2 linked regions of the Schizosaccharomyces pombe genome follow. Changing the gene in region 2 together with the main gene of any one other region gives a genetic interaction. Each region holds a gene or a part of one and is shown on either strand. Other genes may lie near its edges.

The links. A genetic interaction does not mean that the proteins touch.
Region 1: of ssu72 (region 2) and cdk9, changing one suppresses a phenotype caused by changing the other (phenotypic suppression), as found in Schizosaccharomyces pombe (one study listed by BioGRID).

What each region holds. Positions count from the first base shown.
Region 1 is NC_003423.3:1,468,568-1,472,167, forward strand, and holds the start of cdk9 (P-TEFb-associated cyclin-dependent protein kinase Cdk9), read left to right. Parts: upstream 1-2,000; 5' UTR 2,001-2,112; coding exon 2,113-2,255; exon of another isoform or gene 2,256-2,306; coding exon 2,307-2,388; exon of another isoform or gene 2,389-2,508; coding exon 2,509-3,600. Other genes in the region: wdr8 (WD repeat-containing protein), read left to right, coding at 1-320, 393-468, 508-1,520. UniProt on the Schizosaccharomyces pombe protein: Component of the positive transcription elongation factor b (P-TEFb) which consists of cdk9 and pch1, and which phosphorylates the C-terminal domain (CTD) of RNA polymerase II and spt5.
Region 2 is NC_003424.3:3,175,753-3,179,314, reverse strand, and holds ssu72 (RNA polymerase II CTD phosphatase Ssu72), read left to right. Parts: upstream 1-2,053; 5' UTR 2,054-2,184; coding exon 2,185-2,267; exon of another isoform or gene 2,268-2,316; coding exon 2,317-2,827; 3' UTR 2,828-2,888; downstream 2,889-3,562. Other genes in the region: spa2 (GTPase-activating protein), read left to right, coding at 3,256-3,322, 3,409-3,537. UniProt on the Schizosaccharomyces pombe protein: Processively dephosphorylates Ser-5 of the heptad repeats YSPTSPS in the C-terminal domain of the largest RNA polymerase II subunit (rpb1).

The sequences.
Region 1 (3,600 bases), on a different chromosome or scaffold from region 2:
CAAGTGTTTCACATTGTGGTAATTGGATTGCGTCTTTATCTCGCTCTGGGCATGTCTTAATTCGAAATTCTGAAACCCTCGAGCTTCACCATGTGTTCCTTCTAAACGCTCAATTCATTCAAAAGGTTGTATACTTGTTATGGAAACCCAATTTAGGAGCAGAAAAATGCCATCAAATTTGTGTTGCCTCAGTTGATAAAGTGTTTGTATTAGATATTGTACAACACGATTATTATGCTAGCATACAGTGCGACCAGGATCCTTTGAGTAGTATCAGCTGGAGCCCGTCTGGAGAACTGCTTCTCTGGTCGTCCTTTGATGTACGTTGTATCTAATAAAATTTGCACAACTTTTTGCTTATATATCTGCGATGCTAATAGCAAATTTTTTAGTCGAAGATTACTGTGTGGTCTTTAAATACCCAGAAAGGTTATTTGCTTCCACATGTAAAAACCAATGTTTCGAAAGGTATTTCTTGTCTGATATATCAATTTACTGACTGTTTAGTTTACGCTTTACATCCATCCATGCAATTCTGTACTATATTATCTCGTTTTAACGGTTCGGATTGCCTTCAATTTTACCAAATCAGCAAAAAGGCATGGATACTTCTTAAAGAGTGTAAGCTTCCTACAATAGATTCGACGGGTATCCATTGGTCGCCAGATGGAAACTGGTTAGCTGTTTTGGAAAACGTATTAGATGCAGTTGTTTATATTTATCATCGCACCGGTCTTCTTTTTCACGAATATCGACCAAATAGGTTAATTGAAGTCGGCTTTTCCGATTTTGAGTGGAGTCCCTTTGGCAAATATCTAACTTTGTGCAGTTACCATGATTCAACCTTACATCTACTTGAAACAAAAACTTTTAGTATAGTTTTTCGACTTCACCATTGTTTGCAATATACCAATACTGACTTGGAAATGCATATATGGGAAGAGAAGGAAACAATCTATGAGCAACAAATGACTTATCAAAAAGTACATAAACTCAGAACCGATTTCCCAGAACCCTCCTTTTGTTCAGCATCAAAAATACGTTTCAACTGTGATGAGACGTATGCTGCTACAATTACTTCTAAATATCCTAATGTTCTTTGGCTATGGAATTTACAGAATAAAAAACTGCACACTGTTCTTATTCAAAAACATCATATAGTGTATTTTGAATGGCATCCAGGTCGTCCCGATTTGGTGGTCATTCAAACAAAAATTAGGAAAGAATCCAAAATTCCGTCTAATGCTACATTCCTATACTTCTGGGCTTTAAGTTGGAATACACCCAGGGTCGTTGGAGTTCCAAAAAAAGGTTTTAATATTCAGAAGGTTCAATGGCTTCAACCATCAGAATTCAGTTCTCGTCCAGTTATAGTAATTTGTGGTGAAGATGCATATACCGTTGCTTACATTGTGGAAGATGAAGATGAATCATTTACCGAAGTTACTCAAACTATAATTTCTCAAGAAGTTTTAGATAATGAGTTAGAAACAACGCAAACGATTTCCATACCATCTTAAGGGATTTACTTTCTATCTTAAAAGTCTTAATTATTGTAACCATTTTTAAATATTCTTTTTATTTTACTAACGACCTAATTAATTCGCTTAATGTCTATAATATTTTAATGCACGTTCATTGTTCCCGCATGTAAAACATGAGCACCCTGAGCACCCCGTCAGCTTAAGGCCTTTGCATACCTCTTATAGTTTGAATGTCTTTTTCAGTCTATTCAACTATCTTTTTCTAAATTTAGTACGTACTATTCCTGAGTTTTAATAACTACTCTTTCCTGATTCATAAATTGTAAACTTTGCGCATTTATTTGAGATTAGGGAGTCCTTTGAAAGATATTTAAAACTAATGCAACTTTTTCCCTTTATAAAAAGCATTGTTTATTCTCTATACTTACAGTATTGTTTTCTCATTTTGAAACATAGCGCATTTTACTTCGCCTCCGTATTTAATGCATATAGTTGATAGTTGGGTCCACTTCCACTATATCCTCATCAGATGCAACATTTCGCGCATCGATCGGGTTTATACTACAATTTGTATAATTAACTTTATTCACTAATCGTTGGGATCTTTTGTATAATATAAGTTAAAAAAATGAAACGCTCAAGCAGCGTTTCTGTCGAAGATGAGAAATCAGCAAGGAGAAAATTAGATGTCGTACCCAAACTTCATTTTGTAGGGTGCAGCCATTTAACGGATTATCATTTAATGGAAAAATTAGGAGAAGGAACATTTGGGTATGTGTCAAATATCTGATTTTGAATTTTATCACTAACTTGGTTCACCAGCGAAGTTTACAAATCGCAGCGGCGTAAGGACGGGAAGGTATATGCGCTGAAAAGAATACTCATGCATACTGAAAAGGAAGGTGTAAGTAGATGTTTGTTTAGATTCTTGTTCATTTTGACAGAATGACTTGGGACGCATCGACTTGATTGCGTTAATTGTTTTAATTAATTCATGAATAAATACTAAAGCATTACATTTTAGTTTCCCATTACAGCCATTCGCGAAATAAAAATTTTAAAATCGATTAAACACGAGAATATTATTCCATTATCTGATATGACTGTTGTTCGTGCAGACAAGAAGCATCGACGTCGTGGTTCTATATATATGGTGACTCCTTATATGGATCATGACCTTTCAGGTTTATTAGAAAATCCAAGTGTAAAATTCACGGAGCCGCAAATTAAATGCTATATGAAGCAATTGTTTGCTGGAACCAAATACTTACATGATCAGCTTATCCTTCATAGAGATCTTAAAGCTGCTAATTTATTGATTGATAATCACGGGATTTTAAAAATTGCCGATTTTGGTCTCGCACGTGTGATAACGGAGGAGTCATATGCAAACAAAAATCCTGGCTTGCCTCCACCTAATCGTAGAGAATACACTGGATGTGTGGTTACACGCTGGTATAGATCACCAGAACTTTTGCTTGGCGAGCGTCGTTACACTACCGCTATTGATATGTGGAGCGTGGGATGCATCATGGCCGAAATGTATAAAGGAAGGCCAATCCTTCAAGGAAGTAGTGATTTGGACCAATTGGATAAAATCTTTCGCCTTTGTGGATCACCAACTCAAGCTACTATGCCAAATTGGGAAAAGCTTCCTGGGTGCGAAGGCGTTCGCTCTTTTCCTTCACACCCTAGAACACTTGAAACTGCATTTTTTACTTTCGGAAAGGAAATGACTTCTCTTTGCGGTGCTATTTTGACCCTTAATCCGGATGAACGTTTATCTGCTTCAATGGCTTTAGAGCATGAATATTTTACAACACCACCATATCCAGCAAACCCTTCTGAACTACAGAGCTACAGTGCTTCTCATGAGTACGACAAAAGAAGGAAAAGAGAACAGAGAGATGCTAATTCACATGCGTTTGAACAAACCGCTAATGGTAAGAGACAGTTCCGGTTCATGACTCGTGGACCTAGCGATCCGTGGTATGGAATTCGTCGGCCAAATTATAACTCACAACCGCAATACCAACGTGGTTCGTACAATCGTGAAGGCGGTAACATGGATAGAAGTCGTAATGTTAATTATCAGCCTAAGCGTCAGCAAAATTTT
Region 2 (3,562 bases):
TTGGATAAGTAAAGATTTGAAATGTTTGACTGTCTAAATACTTTGACACGACTTTACAAATATAAGTGAGCAAGTACTAACTAACTGTATTTTAGCAAGTCTCTATTTCACTGCTATACATGCAAATTACTTCTGGTGCTTGTCCAGTGAATCTGTAACCAATATTAAGTTATGTGGTCAATTTTAGTTGGTGTTTACTCATCATAACTTTTTCCCTAAATGCAACATAAAATAGTGAAAGCGGAAAGTATTAGACCCCTTTTTCATTGAACTCTTACTGTTACTCGTTGGACATGAAGCGTATGTATTTACTACTTTGCACTTCAAGATGGTCTAATTTGGCGAATGGTGTAAATAATGAAAGCGCAGAATAAATAACTGCTAATGTACAAAATGTTTCCACAATGGTTTGTCATAATCGTTTGACACGAAAGCAAAGAAAATTGCGCTGTGATTAAGTCTACTCAGTTAGCTCAAGAGATCAAAAGAAATAACAGTTTTGTCAGTGTTAGTGGTTTTAATTATGATAACCGTAACAGCTTTGACATTCTTCATAGCAGACGAATAATTGAGACTATTTGATCACAATAACTAAATTAAAGCTCTATTTTGAAGCGAAAGAGAAAAAGAAATATAGACTGCTTACCGTTTATTAAGCCTGAATTGCGCGATCAGTTAACTGAAACATATGGTATATTAAAAAGGAGAAGTCTGTTTGGCGTAAAGTCCAGCGAACGAGAAAAGCTTTAGAAAAGGGGAACGAAATCACTAGATTAGGATTATACCGTGACGCTGCAAGATCATCGTCTACTTATGGGAAGAGCCGATTTGCCAGTTAGCACGTATGGTTTTTCTGACGGATTCTTTGTATATAAAACATGTGAATATGTTTCTTTTGATATAGAAATAGCATCTACGTCTTTTACTTATTGGATATGGTTTGCATGCATTATAGCAACGTAGTCCTTCTTTGCATAATATGATGTGCCTTTACATTTTCTTTTTTTTTTCTTATTTACTGACTATATTTAAGGCAAGTCACTAACTGTTTCGATTCGCAAAATTAATGAGTACTGTTGAATGTCATATTTCACTTTAAGAAGCTTACTGAGTGAACCTGATTTTTGTATTTTCTACTAACGAAAAACTGCATTAACCACACAGTAACTTTATAGCTTTTCAAGACAAAATTACATACACCGATTTTATTTAGGCTGGTCATATATTTTTCAGTATCCGCGATATCTTCAACTAAGCTAATCATTATTGTCGTAAACGTTTTACACACGATCAGACAAAATTAAAAGGTAGCTAGGGTTTTGTCTACAGTGGTACTAATTCAATAACTGAAGTTGTATCCTTTGGACAAATGCCTAAAGTCATCATTTCGCGTTGAATTAAAATTGGTTAAGTTATGCAAAATATATACTAAATCGAATTTATTGAAACAGTCACAAAGATTGAAGACCTACCCTATATAATACTCAAAACTTGGAAATCTTAAGCGATAAATGAAATGAAAGAGTATGGTATGTACGAAACTACTCTAAGTAGATCAGCTCAAAACTTAATGCTTCATACGCCAGTTTGTATGTTTGAACTTTATTCATTTTGAGATTAACAGCCAAGAATTGTTGATTGATCCAACCGCAAATTTTGTTTGACAATACAATGATTTCTCACTAATTTTATACGGCTTTTTAAAGTGCTGGCGATGAGTAGTTTTATTATTAATATTATAATAAGGAGTTTTTGAATTAGGCATAATTTTGTAAAGTTAACAATCATTAATGTAGTATGGGTAGTGGAGTATAGACGTATTTATTCAAACCCTATCTTTGAAAAATTGCTATCAGACGAATACAACGTGGAGAATTTTTATTTTTATAAAACATTTAAGATAATTAATTAAAGTAGAAATTATACTCTGCAAAGATGAGATTCATTTCAAGAGCCTCTGCTTTTGTGATGCAACATATCGATATATCGCATCGTAAAGCAGCGTGGTAATTTTGAAAGGCTGTTGCTTACAGCGTGTCATATTGTATACACTGCAAAGAACGAGTTTGGACCTTTGGCTGTATGTCTAATTTAGTAAGATAAAAATCTTGCAATAATAAAGAAAGGAAAGTAAAACCTTTTAAAGCCTTACCAACGTTAGTCAGTAAACAATAATACCAAATAATGGCTCCCAAAACCAACCTCCAGATCAGTGTAATTTGTGCTTCGAACCAAAATCGAAGTATGGAAGCTCACAACGTCTTAAAGTATGTCATTTTTGAATTTTATGAGGTAGTTTGCTAATCTCCATTGAAGGAATGCTGGATACCAAGTTGATTCGTTCGGAACAGGTTCAGCTGTACGGTTGCCGGGTCCCAGTATTGACAAACCTAACATTTATCAATTTGGGTATCCATATGATGAAATTTATAAAGAGCTCGAGGCCCAGGATTCCCGGCTATACACGGCCAATGGATTGCTTAAAATGCTTGACCGAAATCGCCGTATAAAGCGCGCTCCTTGTCGGTGGCAGGACCAAGATTCCATATACAACATTGTAATAACCTGCGAAGAAAGATGTTATGATGCCATTTGTGAGGATCTGTATCGTCGAGGTGAAACATTGAATCGACCTGTGTACTTAATAAACGTTGACATTAAAGATAACCATGAGGAGGCCAGCGTAGGTGGAAAGGCCATTCTCGATTTAGTCAACAAATTAACCGAGGCACAGGATAAATTGGAAGAGCTGTTCCCTTCTATAATGGCCGACTTTCAATCTAACCATCCTAAACTTCCTGTATTGTATACTATTCATTTTTTTTAATATCATTTATCGTTACACGTCGTTATCGAATTTAATAAAGCATGTCCTTTCTCCTAGTATATCTACAACGTTCTAAGTAATAAACACAGTAAATTGGCAAGGACGCAAAGCTGTCAGTAATATTTTTAGATAGAAGATTTCTCTTCGCACTCGTTTGCCTGTTAATGTGTTTGGCAGTACATTAGGCATTTTAAAGACTTTTTCTTTAAAAATTTAATTCACAGAAAAATTATATCAAATTAATTTAGGGTCCAGCACGTCCTTGCCCATTGTATTAGTACAACTGCCTTAAGTTAATTTACACAGTCTATCTTTTTCAAGTCAGCGTAAAAGAAAGGACATATCATTTAATTCCCTGAAAAAGATAGAAAGCTCATTTTTTCCAACTTCTTTCCTCAAATCCCTAGTCTTAAATTTGCTTTCAAACTATGCAAAGTATTATTATTCGTCAATATCGGTTTTTAGCTCGTTACTTAGAGCCTGAATTTGTTAAAGGTATGTTAAAAATTGGTTTAAAATTAAGCTGTACAATTGCTTTGACCCACGGAAACAATGTAATCACCTCTAACGCTATTTTATAGACCCAGCCCTAAGGAACGCCAATGCGAGGCCACGTGAAAAGCTTCAGCGTTTGTCTCATATTCAGTTCAGTGAACTTTTAACAGACGTTGCTGATGAACTACAGCGTAGGATCAACAATGATCCCAAAGGTATTTTGATTTACACTCTTATGAG